Linked DNA regions of Oryctolagus cuniculus. The protein of the gene in region 4 interacts with the protein of the main gene of each other region in a pairwise test. Links are inferred from orthologs where the notes say so. Each region holds a gene or a part of one and is shown on either strand. Other genes may lie near its edges. The genes, in order: NRF1, CCDC92, NIBAN1 and FHL2.

The links.
Region 1: the proteins of FHL2 (region 4) and NRF1 interact in binary tests that used the Homo sapiens proteins (3 or more experiments, as listed by UniProt). The two-hybrid records come from large-scale screens. The link is inferred for Oryctolagus cuniculus from reciprocal best matches to the Homo sapiens genes FHL2 and NRF1.
Region 2: the proteins of FHL2 (region 4) and CCDC92 interact in binary tests that used the Homo sapiens proteins (3 or more experiments, as listed by UniProt). The two-hybrid records come from large-scale screens. The link is inferred for Oryctolagus cuniculus from reciprocal best matches to the Homo sapiens genes FHL2 and CCDC92.
Region 3: the proteins of FHL2 (region 4) and NIBAN1 interact in binary tests that used the Homo sapiens proteins (3 or more experiments, as listed by UniProt). The two-hybrid records come from large-scale screens. The link is inferred for Oryctolagus cuniculus from reciprocal best matches to the Homo sapiens genes FHL2 and NIBAN1.

Annotation. Positions count from the first base shown.
Region 1 is NC_091434.1:165,826,001-165,829,560, forward strand, and holds part of NRF1 (nuclear respiratory factor 1), read left to right. Parts: intron 1-3,093; exon of another isoform or gene 3,094-3,232; intron 3,233-3,352; exon of another isoform or gene 3,353-3,355; 5' UTR 3,356-3,361; coding exon 3,362-3,560. UniProt on the Homo sapiens protein: Transcription factor that activates the expression of the EIF2S1 (EIF2-alpha) gene. Links the transcriptional modulation of key metabolic genes to cellular growth and development.
Region 2 is NC_091452.1:5,556,037-5,560,263, forward strand, and holds the start of CCDC92 (coiled-coil domain-containing protein 92), read left to right. Parts: upstream 1-1,417; 5' UTR 1,418-1,488; intron 1,489-1,496; exon of another isoform or gene 1,497-1,515; intron 1,516-1,554; exon of another isoform or gene 1,555-1,810; intron 1,811-4,227.
Region 3 is NC_091444.1:2,294,746-2,298,775, reverse strand, and holds the start of NIBAN1 (protein Niban 1), read left to right. Parts: upstream 1-1,202; 5' UTR 1,203-1,306; coding exon 1,307-1,361; intron 1,362-4,030. UniProt on the Homo sapiens protein: Regulates phosphorylation of a number of proteins involved in translation regulation including EIF2A, EIF4EBP1 and RPS6KB1. May be involved in the endoplasmic reticulum stress response.
Region 4 is NC_091433.1:103,241,640-103,245,199, forward strand, and holds part of FHL2 (four and a half LIM domains protein 2), read left to right. Parts: intron 1-1,376; coding exon 1,377-1,546; intron 1,547-3,560. UniProt on the Homo sapiens protein: May function as a molecular transmitter linking various signaling pathways to transcriptional regulation. Negatively regulates the transcriptional repressor E4F1 and may function in cell growth.

The DNA.
Region 1 (3,560 bases), on a different chromosome or scaffold from region 4:
GCAGCTGGGACGCGAACCAGCGCCCATATGGGATGCCGGGGCCGCAGGCGGTGACTTTACTCGCTATGGCAGAGGGCTGTTACCTCTCAATGATTTTATGAAAACATTGAAAGCATACTTCACAGATATCCCCCTCTAGTTCAAAAACGTTGAAAGTAACTTTGTCTTTGCTTAGTATAGAACGCTGCCTGTAAATGGTTAGAGATGCTGAGGCAAGGGCTGGGGAGGGCGGTGGGAAGCGGTGAGAACTGGGCAGAAGTGACAAGCCTGTGTGACAGACAGCCCTATTGATTTATGCTGTGAATCGCATTCTGGAGCAGAGAATTGAAATCCATTATGCCAAGTGCATAGCATACAAATCCCTTTGAAAAGCAGTTAGATGCCATGTAATCCCAAATCATTTAAAAGCGATTTTGAAGTACCCAGAATTCTAAATTGTCTTAAGCATTTTGTTTCTTAGACTAGAAAAACAATGAAATGGATGGCAAGATAGCATTTTAATGGAATCTTCCTCTCATATATTATATTTAATTTTAGTGTGTTAAGTTGAATTTTAGATAAGTACAGATTTGGAGTTATGTTCTCTTGAGTATTCTGAAACTCACACCAAATGTAGGATATGAAAGAAACCTTAGGACAGCTTATCTGATACTTATCTTGAAAAAACCATTTTGGGGCCTGCGCCGTGATGCAGCGGGTTAAAGCCCCAGCTTGCAGCGCAAGCATCCCACATGGGGCCCATTCGAGTCCAGCTCTCTGCTAATGTGCCTTGGAAAGCAGTAGAAGATGGCCCAAATGCTTGGACCCCTGCACTCACGTGGGGGACCTGGAGGAAGCTCCTGGCTGTGGGTCGACTCAGCTCTGGCTGTTGTGGCCATTTGGAGAATGAACTCAAATGGAATTTCTGGCTTCTGACTTCTTTTTGGCCCAAACCTGGCTGTTGTAGCCATTTGGAGAGTGAACCAGTGGATAGAAGATCTCTCTCTGTCTCTGTTGTTCTGCCTTTCAAATAAATAAATAAGTAAATCTTTTTTTTTTTTTTTAAATTAACACATAGTAATTGTACATTAAAGTAGATACTTGGGCCGGCACTGTGGCGCAGTGGGTTGACACCCTGGCCTGAAGTGCCAGCATCCCATATGGGCGCCAGTTTGAGTCCCGACTGCTCCACTTCCGATCCAGCTCTCTGCTATGGCCTGGGATAGCAGTAGAAGATGGCCCAAGTCCTTGGGCCCCTGCACCCTCCTGGGAGACCTGGAAGAAACTCCTGGCTCCTGGCTTCAGTTTGACCCAGCTCCGGCCATTGCAGCCATTTGGGGAATGAACCAGCGGATAGAAGACCTCTCTCTCTCTCTCTCTTTCCCCCCTTCTGCTTTTCTGTAACTGCCTTTCAAATAAATAAATCTTTTTAAAAAATTATATATTTTCATTTTGTTTGAAAGGCAGAGTGAGATACAGAGAGAGGGAGAGAAATTTTTCTTTCATAGTTCGTCCTTTGGTATTATATTCAGAAGTCATTGCCAAACCCAAGGTCATGTAGGGTTCTTCTACGTCATTTTATAGTTTTGCATTTCACATTTTGTTCTATATATATTCATTTTGTAAAAGATGGAAGGTCTCTGTAGACTCATTTTTTGGTATGTTGGTATCCATTTGTTCTGTTACCATTCATCAAAAAGATTCTGCTAAACTGTGGTATTGTGCTTGCCTCTTTGTCAGAGATCAGTGTTCACTCTGCATGGCAGCAGGTGATGGCTCAAGTATTTGGGTTCCTGCTACACATGTAGGAGACCCAGATGGAGTTTTGGCACCTGGCCTCAGCCTGGCCTAGCCCCAGTTTGAGGGGTGAACCAGCGAATGAGAAATCTCTCAGTCTCTCTGTGTGTGTTTGTCTGCCTCTAAAGTAAAATAAATAAAAATTTTTATAAAGAATAATGAATTTCTGGAAGTGGGCAGAAGAATATAAATACAATAGGAAAGCAAACTTTTACTGCTTCGTTTTTAATTTAATTTATTTTTAATTTTTAAAAGGATTTTTTGATTTGAGAGAGTTACAGAGAAAGAGGCAGAGTTACCGAGAGAGAATCTTCCATCTACTGGTTCAATCCCCAGATGACCACATTGGCCAGCATTGAGCCAGGCTGAAGCAAGGAGCCAGGAGCTGGGTCTCCCACAATGGTTAAAGGGGCCCACGCACGGAGCCATCTTCTGCTGCTTTCCCTAGGCCATTAGCAGGGAGCTGGATTGGAAGTGGAGCAGCTGGAACATAAACTGTGCTTATTTGTGATGTTGGCATTGCAGGTGACAACTTTACCAACTATGCCACAATGATGGCCCCACTGCTGAATTTTTAAAATATTTTATTATTTCTTCTTATTTTATTTGAAAGGTAGACAAACAAATATTTTTTCCATCTACTGGTTCACTTCCCAGGTGACTGCAACAGCCAGTGATGAGCCAGGCTGAAGTCAGGAGCGTCCCACTCAATCTACATCTCCCACGTGGAAGGCAGGGACCCAAGTACTTGAGCCCTCACCTTCTGTCTCTCAGGGTGTGAATCTACAGGAAGCTGGAATCAGGGACTCGAATCCAGATGCTCTTATGGGTGATGCAGGTGTCCCAAGTGGCATTTCAAGTGCTACTCCAAATGTCCCCACTAGTTTAACTCCATTGTTCTGAAACTTTTTGGAAAAAGCAGGGTGACAGTGAGAGAGGGGGAGAAAAAGAGATGGGGAGAATGAGAATCTTCAACTGCTGGTTCACTCCCCAAATGCCCATAACAGCTGAGGGTGGGTCGAGTCAAAACCAGGAGTCAGCAGCTCCATCCCCATCTCCCACATGGATGGCAGGGACCCCTGTAGTTAAACCGTCATCTGCTACTTCCCAGGCACGATAGCAGGAAGCTGGATTGGAAGTGGAGATAGGACTTGATCCCAGGCGGACCAATATTGGATGGGTGCAGGCATCCCAAGCAGAGGCTTAAACTGCTGCACCTGTTAAGTGTTTTTATGTCTACAACATCAAATACTAGTTAAAGGGATATTTTAAGAATGTTTCTATTATATTTACACTTTTTATTGTTATATTTATTAGGGATATTTGTTTTGTGTCCTGAGGTATCAGATTTAGCCCCGTGAATTTCCATCAGAATGGGTTCATATGAGGAAAGTATTCCACCATTTTTGTGCCATATTTGAGTGGTGCCTTCCGTTTCCTATGGCTTGGTGGTGAGGTAAGTAGTGAAATTAGAGGCTTGTTCAAGTTCCTCTACCCCTGGAGAAAATCTCTCTTTAGTTTAAGCATGGTGCTACATTGCGCACTGCGTCTTATTCTTTTCCTCTTTTTCTGTCAGCAGATCTTCATGGAGGAACACGGAGTGACTCAGACTGAACACATGGCTACCATAGAAGCCCATGCAGTGGCCCAGCAAGTGCAGCAGGTCCATGTGGCCACCTACACTGAGCACAGCATGCTGAGTGCTGATGAAGACTCGCCTTCTTCCCCGGAAGATACCTCTTACGATGATTCAGACATACTCAACTCCACAGCAGCTGACGAGG
Region 2 (4,227 bases), on a different chromosome or scaffold from region 4:
CGTGGAGACCGGGAAGGGCCCGGGGGGGGGGGGCTCCGGAGCATCTACAACCGCAGGTGCCCGCACCCGCGCACACACTTTTCCTATCTGGAGCAGCGCTGGCGGGGGCTTCGACCATCCCCGAGATGCGACCCTTTTTCCAAAAATAAAAACAAGTCAGCGCATTTACGAATTTCAAAACCCTCTCTCAAGGCTCAAGTCACCGGTGCGTGGCGCAAGGTCACCCGTGCGCTCCCCGGCGGCGGCGGCGGCGGCGAGGGAAGCCGAAATCCGTTTTGTAAAAAGCCGCTGGCTCCCGAGGCCACGGCCGACTGTCACGAAGTACCGCACCGCGCCGCTCTCGGAGGCGTGAGCAGGCCCCTTTGTTGCGCCGGGACAGGCCACGGCCAAAGTGGGGGCGGCCGCGGGGCTCACAAAGGAGCGGGCCGCGAGGGCAGAGTCCTCCGGGGCCGGCCGGGAGGGCGCGGCGGGCGGCGGGTGGGGGAGGGGGAGGGGAGGAGGAGGAGGGGGCGCGGGAGCCGCTTACCTGCGCGAGCGGCCCTGGTCGCGGTCACACAATGGAGGCGTCCGGCGGCGGCCCCGTGCGCCGGGTGCGCGGCGGGCTCCTCGCGGCCTCGGCCGGGCCGGGCGCTACAAACACACAACAGCACAGCCTGCGGCGCGCCGCCGCGCCCGCCCCTCCGGGGCCCGCCTGGAAGCGCTCCCAGGCGCGGCCCCACGGGCCCCGGGGCCGGCCGCGCTCCCCCTTCCCCCGGCCCCGACAACAATGGAGCCCGGCCCGGGAGTCCGGCTCCCGCGGGGCCTCGCCCTGCCCGCCGCCATCGGCGACCCCAGGCCCCGCCGCCCGCCGCCCCGAGGCCCGCGGCCTGGCCGGCGGCCGCCCGCCCGCGGGGAGCCGCGCCGACCCCCGCGGCGCGCCCGAGGGGCCCGCGCGGCCCCAGGCCCGTCCCGAGCGCCGGCTTGTTTTTCTTTTCTTCCCACCCCCGCCCCCCGCCCCCGCCCGCACCCCGGAAAAGAAGGCCGGCGACAGCTCAGCCGCCGCCAACTCACTCCAAGTGAGGGGTGCGGGCGCCCCAGGCCGCGGGCTCCGCGCACCCACCCTCTCTCTCCTCCGGGGACACCTCACAGGTGCGCCTCCGAGCCGCGCGCGCGCGCTCCGCACACCCAGACGCCTCCGGGGGACAGCGCGCGTGCGCACGCACGCGGCCGGCCGGCCCCGGGGGAGCGGGACCCGCACGCATGCGCGAAGCCTCCGCGCGCGCCCCCCCACCGCCGGTCGCGCGCCCGCGCGCCCGCTCGCTTCTCCCTCCTCTCCCCGCCCCCCCCCGCCGCGGCCCGCCCTTGCCCGCGTTGCCCGGGGCAACCGCAGTGCGGCCGCACCTGAGCTGTGCGCCTGCGTCCCACCGGCCCGACCCTCCCTCCCCCTCGGCCCCGTCCCCCTGCCCAGCCGCAGCCCCGGGGAGCCGGGCGGCGCCCCCTCCCCGCCCAGTGAGTACCAGCCGGCCTCCCCGCCCCTCCCGGCGGACGCCGAGCCGCCGCCGCCGCCGCCGCCACACGCCGCAGCGCGACCCGGCTCGCCGCCGGCCGGCTCCCAGGGTGCACCGCGGCGGGCGCTCGCTGCGAGCCGGCGAGATGCGCTGAGCGGGCGGTGCCCACTGACCTCCCTCGGCGGCCCGGCCGGGCAGGGCCGGAGCCGAGGCTGCCCCGCCCGCCGCCGCCCCGCCCATGGGCTGCGGGCCGCCGCCGCCCGCCGGGAGGAACGAGCCGAGCCGGGGAGCCGCCTGAAGGACCGCCGCGGCCGCGCCCGCAGGTGAGGCGGGGCCCGCGGAGAGCCCAGTCCGGCCCCGCTCACCTGGCCCCGCTGGACAGCGACGGAACAGCCGCGCTGCGCGGTGCGGGCCGGGGCGCGGGCCGGCGGCGGGCGTGGGGGGGGGGTCTCCTGGCGCAGACACCCAGCGGGGCGGCCGCGGCGTCCGGCCCCAGGCGGGGGAGGCGAGGCCGGCCCGGGGCGGGATCCGCATTGCAGGTGCAGCGGCGGCGCCCGGGGGGGGGGGTGGCGCTGCGGGCGGCGGAGCCCCCGGCCGCCCCCGCCGCCCCCGCCGCCCCCGGCTCTGCGGGCTCGCCTTCCTGCTGCCCGCGACCGTGGAGTGGGCAGCTGCGGCGTTCGCCGGTGCGATGCGGAGTCGGCTACCGCCACGGAGCGGGCCGGGGCGCGGGGGGGGGGGGCAGCACCGCGCGCCGGGCTTGCGGTTGCGACGATGAAGGTTTCACCCCAAAACCAAGGCTTGAGCGCGTCGCGCATTCCCGGGAACCCGCGAGTGGGAAGGCTAGCATGGCCGCTTTGAAACGTGCGGTGCGAAGTGGGCTTATTAGGGAGCGGCGTTTGCGGCTGTTCCCTTTGGGGGGGCGGCACAGTCAAGAATTCTGCGTTTTCTCGCCGTTGAACTGTAGGAGGGAAAGCTGCCAACATTTACAGCGGTTTTTACTTCTGATTTGAAATGTACGGATTTTTTTTTTGTTTGGCTAAATGTTGCAGATGTGTTTGGAGGAAACTCTAGGCTGTGTCTTTATCTGTACACCTGTGCACAGGGGCGGGGGCTTCAGAAAAGCCTGCGGACGTGGAATTAAAAGGTAACTTTGTCTCGTTGCAAAATTTGAAATCCATGATTTATTTTTTCGCGATGGCTCGCCCCACGAACTCTTTGAAGGCCCCCTGTAGTTAAACACCCTGAAACCTTAAGGTAACTATTCCTCCACATCGCTTCTTAATCACTCGGGAAGTTTAGGCTTTTTTTTTTTTAGGACAGTTATTTCATTTTTACTGTTAGGTTTAAACAGATTTTATTTTTTTTGGAAATTAGATGTTTTTATTGTTAACTCTTTTTCAGAAGCGAATGGGTGCTTTTACTCAGATGGTCCGTCTTGGGCTCTTGGCTCTTTTCTTTCCTGAATCGGATCCATGGGATTTTAAGGTCATTGCCTCCCTGGGGTGCGCGTGCCCCAGCACTGATGTTAGTGACAGCGTGGATGCTTTTAAAATCCAGTTATCGAACGTTGTTCTCTTAAGTCTGGCCAGAAAAGACTTTCTGGAACCAGGTCTGCCCGGTACAGAACGGGCACGTCTGGTAGCCAGGCTTCCTCCCGTCGCCCCACGGCGTCCCCGGAGGCAGAGGCTGGCGCCGCCCGTGCCTCCGCGGCAGCGCTGCAGTCCGGGTTTGAGGCGGCCCCAGGCTGCAGACCAGCTGGGCCGGCGCCAGCCTCCGCACCTGCGCCCCGGATCCCCAGTCCACCTGCGGGGAGTGAGCGCGTCCTGGCTGTGGGTCCTAGTGCCAGGGCTCCGGTGACTGCTTCGCGCCTAGCAGGAGGCAGGTGTCCCACGCCTCGCCTGGGAGAGCTTCCCGCGGTGGGAAGGGGGCCTGCGCCCCACTCGGGGGCCTGCTCCCTCCTCGGGTGCCCCACCTAGCAGAGCCGCTACCGGAGTCACAAGGGCGGGGAGCCTTGGGGTTCCAGTGGCAGCTGGATTTGGGGAGCTGTGCATCTCCCTCTGGCTCTGTGGTTCTCACACTGGCTTGTCCGCCATGCACCCGAAGCCTCAGCCCCGGGAAGGTTTCTCAGGCCCGCCTGCCCTCAGAGCTGGGTCTAACTCTGTTGTGCGTGAGTGTGGCGCAGTGCAGGTCACAAAGCTCCTCTCGCCTAATAAAGACTTTTTAGTTGTGATCTGATTTTCTCCCTTTGACTTTTATTTTCTACAATAAACTTTTAATCAGATGGAAAATTATCTTTTCTAGGAAACCAAGCAGAGGAGTTTGCTTTTTAAAAGCGTTAAAAATGGGCTGATGTCAGCTCTCCTTCTGAGTCAGGGAGTTGTGAAGCTGCATCTTTTTTCTTAGATGAAAATGCTTTTTAAAGATGCTAATTAAGAGGTGATTCTGTGCTTGCTCTGCGTCTTCATTCCTCTTTATTTCATTACTCCAACATGACTCAGGTTTCACAGCGAGACGTCCAGTCACATCCACCCACAGTGAGCTGCACCGAACTATTCCCCAGTGCGTCTGGGAGAGTTTAGGTACCTGCTGGCAGCCAAGAGGAAGCTTGAGTAGTGTCCCGGGGACGGGAGAGCTGAGGTGACCGACCTCAGCTCCAGGAGTAGGGGGGCCGCGGCCAAGGGGGGATGTCACTGGGTGGCTACAGCTCCCAGCCCCGTAGTGCCCGAGACAAGTGCAGCGA
Region 3 (4,030 bases), on a different chromosome or scaffold from region 4:
GAGCAGGCGCATGGCCCTGGGGTGATGGTCCTGGGAAGAGCAGAGAGGCTGCCGTGGGACCACGAGGGCCAGCGGGTGTGAGGAGGGCAGGGGAGGCGGGCCTAGGCCGGGTGGGCTCTGTGCAAGTTCCCCCATGACAGTTAGGAGGCTGTGGTCCTGCTGGAGGGGAGGTGGTGATGGGGCGGGGGGGGGGGTGGGCAGAGAGCTGGTTGGACACAGCTGGAAAGCGGGACTGACAGGCAGGATCTCGGGGTGTGAGCTGTGATGCACATCCGGTCTGGTTAGGAAATTAACTTGGTGGGGCAGGAGGAGGGGCTTCAGAGGCCTCAGACCCTTTGACCTCGAGGGTAAGCTGGTAGGACAGAGTCCTGATTCCTGCCCAGGGCTGGTCTGGTGACCGTGGGGGAGCCACCATACAGTCTCCTCCTGGCCCACAGGTGTTTCCGGGGCGGTCGTCGGCCTCCCCAGGTGTACCCAACCCTGGTGCCCCCTGTGTTTTCCCACCCTCGCCAGCCCTGGACCACCTCCTGGGCTCCAGGTGGGCACTGTCCAAAGCATTCTTGGACACAAGCCACGCCAGGAATCCCCAGAGGGCTGGGGAGGCAGGCGGTTGGTCCCCAGCCAGAGCTTTTGATTGGGGCTGTGGCAAGGGTGCCGTGTGTGTGTGTAGAGTGTGCAGCTGTGTGGGTGTGGAGGGTGTATGTGTATGTAGAGGTATGTGTGTAGGGCTGTGCGTGTAGACATGTGATGGAGTGTGTAAGGGTGTGTAGAGGTGTGTATGTGTGGAAGGTGAGTATGTGTCTGTGTGGAGGGTTGTGTGTGTGTACAGGTGTGTGTGGAGGGCGTGTGTTTGTAGGGGTGTGTGTGGACCGTGTTTCTGTGGCATGGGGGGGGGCTCAGGTGTACAGGTGCGCAGGTGCACAGGGGCACGGGTGGAGCTGGTGGGGGCCAGCCTTCTCCCTGGGTGGGGGGGTGGAGCGTGCAGAGCGATGGGGTCCCTAGCCCAGCGGCTCACAGACATCTGGAGGCCTACAGTGGCCGGGACGCCGTCCTTTCCCTCCACGGCGTTTCTGGGCCGCCGCAGGTCGGCGACCAGCCGGCGGGAAGTCCCGGCAGAGGCGGCTCCGGAGCGACCGCGAAGGGGCGGGAGGCGGCCGCACAGGCGCTGGGGCGCGGCCGGGGAGGCGCCCAGGGGGCGGCGCCCGCTGAAGAGGCCGCCTTAGCCCGGAGCCGCGGTCGGCGCTCTCCAGCTAGCTGGCCCGCTACGCCCGGTACCGCACGGCACCGCGCCCGCCGCACCACGACCATGGGCGGCGCCGCCTCCAGCCAGCTGGACGAGGCCCGGAGCGCCTACATCCGAGGTACGCCCCGTCTCCGCCTGCTGCACGGCGTCCCGGGCGAACCCCGGGTCCCGGAGGGGCCGCCCCGGGCTCCACCTGGGCGCGGGCGTCCCCGGGTCCCGGAGGGGCCGCCCCGGGCTCCACCTGGGCGCAGGGGTCCCCGGGTCCCGGAGGGGCCGCCCCGGGCTCCACCTGGGCGCGGGCGTCCCCGGACCCCGGAGGGGCCGCCCCGGGCTCCACCTGGGCGCAGGGGTCCCCGGGTCCCGGAGGGGCCGCCCCGGGCTCCACCTGGGCGCGGGCGTCCCCGGGTCCCGGAGGGGCCGCCCCGGGCTCCACCTGGGCGCGGGCGTCCCCGGACCCCGGCGGGGCCGTCCCGGGCTCCACCTGGGCGCGGGCGTCCCCGGACCCGGGCGGGTGTCCTGGAGCCGGCGGGAGGGCAGCTCGGCCGCGGGCCCGCGAGCCTGCGGGGGGAAAGCCTTGAGAGGCGCTGCGGGAGGCAGGTGCAGGTGCAGGCGCAGGCGCAGGCCCGGCGGGCGACGCCCTGTGCACCTGGCGCGGGTCAGCTCGGGGCCGTCGCTCCAGCCTGGAGGTTTCCCTGGGGACTCCCGGCCGCGGAGCGGGTGCGGCACCGCCGGACGGTCGCGCAGAAAGGGCGGCGGCGTCGCCTTCCTGGGCTGCGCGGGTCCCTTCCCTCCCCGCAAAGGGGAAGAAGAGGAACCGGCAGGTTTTGTAAGAAAGGCTGAGGGGGTGGAGTGAGAGAGCAGAGGCCAGAGGAGCGCAAACCCACCGGGCGGCCGGCGCTGCCCGGACCCCCGACCCTTTCTCTGCGGGGCTGCCGGGTTTTGGGGACCCCGGCCCGCAAGCCTTTGCGTGTCACACCTGACTTTCGGTCGCCTTGGATTCTGTGTGTGTGCTTCCGGCGGCGGAAACACCTCCCAAGCTAGGCTTTAGCCCCTGGGCTTTCCCCTAATTCTTTGCAGAATCGGCTGAGCGCTTCCTGGCCTCTCCTCTTGGCCCTTGAGCCGCTTCCTGAGAGGAAAGCGTGCGTTTGGGGTCTTCGGTGCGTGTTTGTTTTCAGTCACCGCGCCGTTTACAAAGCGGTTTAGAAGGAGCGCAAATCAGGGCCCGGCCTCGCCAAGTCCCGGGATTGGATCTCCAGATTCCTGCAGGGCCAGGCTTGGCGGTGCTGCCAGGGGACGGAGCCGGCGCCAAGTCCCTTCCCCGGTGGTGTTGAGAGGGGGGAAGTGGAGGAAGCTGGGGTCCAAGCTGCTCCGTCTCAAGCATCCAGGGACCTGCTGGTTTCCCCCAGAGGGTAGGGGCCAGAAGGCAGGTGAGAAGGGGTGTGCACTGGTTGTTAGCAAAGCAATGCTCCTGGTGTTTTTTACAAGCAGGGAAGTGTGTTATCACACGGCCAGAGGTGTGAGGCGGGTGCAGGGGACCATGTGTGAATGAGTAAGGCCACAGCTGGCCGGGTGGCAGGGTGGCGACACCGAGCCCCGCTCAGGGCTGGCCTCTGGTTCTGTGGACCGGAACGCTCTGGAGGAGTGGGAGGGGGAGAAGAGTGACTGCTGCCAGGGCATTGCTTCACCCTGGGAGAAAGGTCCGGGGCTGTGGATCGTAAGCGCCCGAGCCCACGGAAGTCCCGGGCTGTGCCGTCCGGATGGCTCTGAAGCCCGTGCTGCCCAGCAGACCCGGAGCCCGTGTGCACCCCGCGCCCTCCCCGAGCTACGTGTGAGTTACAGTGAGACAGTGGAGAGAGTGACGGCAAAGCTAAGGCACAACTGTAAGATTTCTCATGAAGTGGCCGCTGTACGATTTTGCAGCCTTGCAAGCTGCTGGCGTGCGACAGGAACTTTCAAGCCTGCTAACCCTGAGCGCAGGAGACTAGCCGGTGGATGCCCCGGGCGTGGGTTTGGTGGGGTTGTGGGGCGCGAGCTGGAAGCAGCCGCGCTGCCGGTGTGCTCGTGGCTTGGGGTGGGACCAGGCTGTACTTCTAGACCGCTCTCCTTTGGTCGGTGACAAAGTCATCTGCGTCACCTGCATTTTTCTTCCTGAAGCTTCTGCCGACCTCCAGGTAGAGGCACAGGTGTGGAAGGAGTTGCTTCGTTTCTGAGATGTTGGCTTTGAGATTCTCTCACGACGGTATGTATTTTTAGAACGGGTTCCAGAGGCCTTCCGGGAACTTCCCTGGATAAGCCACTCCTGTGCCCAGACTGGGCGATCACAGCCCGGTGCCCTCTGCCGGCCAGCTCGGGCCCAGAAGGAAGGGCGCTGGCAGGGTCCAGCACCAGCGGGCCGTACGGCATGCTTCTCCCCTCTCTGTTTCTTGTAAAACCCTTGGTTTGCCTGGAATAGAACTTTCAAAATGTGCTTCCCTGTTTTAACCAGAATTGTCTTCCTTTGAAAAATGCCCATTGAACTGGTTTTGAATCAAAGAGAGAGAAAGCTCGCCCACAGGGGAGTCCTGCTGGAGGCGGGGCTGTAGCCGGGCCCCGGGGTGGGGAATGGGCATGTGCCGACTTCTGCTGTGGGGGACTTAGTCACACGTACCCCGAGAAGGCCCAGCGGCTTCCTCTGAAATACTCATCAGCGATCTGATGTTTCTAAAGAAATGAGATTCAGCTTAAAACCAGCATGCATTTCTCTCCGGGGAGTTCTCTCCTGTTTGTCCCGTAAGGGTTAAGTGCGAT
Region 4 (3,560 bases):
ACCTGAGGCTCCTCACCAGAGCGGGCTGGAAGCTCCAGGTGCATCCACACCCCAGCTGTTCCCATCTCCTTGGAACCAGAGCGGGTACTCATTAACAGGTGTGCAACAGGGGGGTGCACAGCCTTCCCCCATTATCCTGAAACTGTGGATTATAGTAGACCTGATATTCTGTGGTTTTCTAGTTGTACATACTTGTGATAAAGGATTGTGGCACAGCAGGTTAACACCCTGGCCTGAGGCGCCGACATCCCATACGGGCACCAGTTCGAGTCCCGGCTGCTCCTCTTCCAGTCTAGCTCTCTGCTATGGCCTGGGAAAGCAATAGAAGATGGTCCAAGTCCTTGGGCCCCTGCACCCATGTGGGAGACCCGGAAGAAGCTCCTGGCTCCTGGCTCCTGGCTTCGGATTGGTGCAGCTCCGACCATTGCGGCCAATTGGGGAGTGAACCAGTGGATGGAAGACCCCCCTCTCTCTCTGCCTCTCCTCTCTGTAACTCTGACTTTCAAATAAATAAATAAATTTTAAAAAGTTGGATTTGTAAATTAAGCACAATAGGAGCATAAAAAGGTTAATGATAACAGAACGGAGTAATACACTACCGTAAGAGTGCTGTGAGTGTGGTCTTTTTTCCAGATGTCGGAGTGTGCTCTCCCCTTTTCACTTAAAGGAAGCATTTTTTATGTCTCTTTGGTATACCTGAACTGCCGGCATCACTTCTCTTGTGCTATGGGGCTGTTGTTCAGTAAGTTAAGCATTGGTGCAAGCGCTGTAATGTCAGTGCCCCATGCAGGCCATCTGCTGCTAAGTGGCTACCGGGCAGGTGGTATAGTAGCGTGGACACGTCCGGCCAGGCTGGGGAGGGCTGCCATGCCAGGACTCAGGGTGGTGTGTGATTTAGAACTTATGAATTGGCCACTTCTCCAACTTCTCGTTTACTATTTTCGGCCCACGATTGACTGCTGACACCCTTAGGATGCAGATCCACAGACAAGGAAGAACTCCTGGAGTCCCTGTTCTCCAGATCCCACGTGCTGAAGGAGGAGCCCGAGCTGGGCCAGACTTCTCTTTCTACTTGGCAATGCTGAGATAGCCTTAATTAAAAAAAGAAATGCAGTGTTCCTGAGCACCAGTCTGGAGAAACACGTGCCAAGTGTGTAGTGTGGGTTGTTCTAGAAGCTGGGTGTATAGCAGTGACCCCTAAGACAAAGCCCCTGCCCTCCACAAGATAGGAATCGTCCCATTGCTAGGCAAGTCTTCGGGCACTCGAGTGGTTTGCTAGGAGACAAATCGAGACGCGGCAGGCTGAGGGTGTGGGCTGCTAAGCCTCCTAGGCCAAGCTAACCAGAACCCCGCCGTTTCTTCCTGACTGCCGGCAGGTACCCGCAAGATGGAGTACAAGGGCAGCAGCTGGCACGAGACCTGCTTCAGCTGCCATCGCTGCCAGCAGCCGATCGGGACCAAGAGTTTCATCCCTAAGGACAATCAGAACTTCTGTGTGCCCTGCTACGAGAAGCAGTACGCCCTGCAGTGTGTGCAGTGCAAAAAGGTATCTTGGGTTCCCCCGGGACCCCGCGGGGTCAGCGCCACCAGCTTCCGTGGCCCTGTCTGTCAGCTCTCGCATTTAGGAAGCAGGGACGGCTGTCCTGCTGGCGTAGCCGGAAGGTTCTGGGGTTGTGCCCGGCCCACCGCTGTGTATTTGCAATCCTGCTGAGCTTTTATGGATTCCAGCCGTTGGATCCCTGTTCTGCACAGAACACCGTGGTACTCTGTGCTCAGAATCCTCTAGCCCTGCCTTCTGGAACATTCCCAGATCAGTTCTCGTGTTAATGACTTGCTGTTGGGAGGAGAGAAAGAGAGAGAGAGAGAGAGAGAGAGAGAGAGAGAGAGAGAGGACAGGTGTGCCCTGGATAGGGAGCAGACCATTTAAAGTTTTCTGCTCCTTGATGTGCTAGCTCTGAGCTGGGGCCTACACAAAGTTTGTGGAAAATGAGTAAGGTGAGAAAACTGGACTTGGATTGCATAATGATGTTGCACCAAAATAAACTTGTCTTTCAAGTCTGTTTTCTAACAAGCTGTCTGAAGTCCCCTCATACACGCATTCTGTATCCCCGTAAGGATCTGAAAACCCAGCATGTTTTGCGTTAGTTCTGCTCCCGGAGGAAGCATCTGTAGGAAGATCAGCCGTGATCTATGGTTTAATGTCAACACTGCAGGATAGGGGCTGGCGCTGTGGCATAGTGAGTAAAACCACCACCTGCAATGCCGGCATCCCAGATGGGTGCAGGTTCAAGTCCTGGCTTCTCCACTTCTGATCCAACTCCCTGCTAATGGTCTTGGAAAAGCAGTGGAGGGTGACCCAAGTTCTGGGGCCTCTACTACCCAGGTGGGAGACCCGGAAGAAGCTCCTGGCTCCTGGCTTCAGCCTGGCCCAGCCCTGACTGTTGTGGCCCTCTGGGAATGAACCAGAAGATGGAATCTCTCTCTCTCACTCACTTACTGTAACTCTTTCAAATGAAATAAATAAATCTTTAAAAATAATGCAGGACAGAAGGAGTCCTGAGCTGTAGCCCCTGCTCTGTCATGAACCAGCTATTCACTGATACCTTCCTCCTGGCCTCAGTTTGCTGATCAATAGCACTGCAGGCAATACCCATCTCGTTTCACAGGCTAAACATGCGGCCCAGAGGGGTGGCCAGGTGTTTAGCTCAGTGTTTGGGGATTCCAGAGCCTAACCGTGCGCCTGCTGGGAGGTGTCTGCCCCATCTTCCGTCACCGTCGTTCTGTTGGACCCCTTGTGATGCCTTACCTGGCTCCATCACTGATCCGTTTTGTAAATGACTCTGGGAAAGCGAGAGGAAAATTCTAGGCGAAAGCCAGTTCTCTGACATCTGGCTTTGCAGCCTTTCCTCACGCTTGTTCCAAGACCACAAGCAGGTTTCGGGCTCACTTTCCCCCAGACTTCCACGATTCCTGCCCTTCCCGCAGCATCAGCAGGTGCAAATCCCGGAGCTTTGCAAGCTCTTTCTCCCACGCCCAAGTGGCTGCTTAGACTGAGCCTGCGAGTGGTGATGGAGACGTTATTCTACCTGCTGGGCTTCACACCGAGCACTCGCTACAGATTTGCACCTGGAACCTTATCACTCCCATCTCACAGATGAGAAAATGGAGGCAGAGGGATCGCTAACAGTGGCTTGCCCCAGCCTCAGGGCTGACAAGGAACAGGTTAGGGTTCATTCCTGGTCTCCCAATAAAGTTCTGGCCAGGAGACGGCCCCTGGGCTGCCTCCCCGCTCCTGGAGCTGCCTCCCCGCCTCTCCCACTCACATCCCCAACCCCACCGACGTCCGTGCCTCAGTTTCCCCGGCACCCCTCCTTGGGGCTGCAGGCAGATACCTGAGGACCACCTGCCCCAATGGAGAACACAGAGACTGTGGCACTGGAGCTCGAATCCGTGGCGGCCACGCCGGGGTCTGCCCAGGAAGTGTGAAAAAGTAGGGTCTCGGTGACTTGAACCACCTGCTGGCTTTCTGGGTGAGGATCTGGTGTTGCCCGGTAGCATCA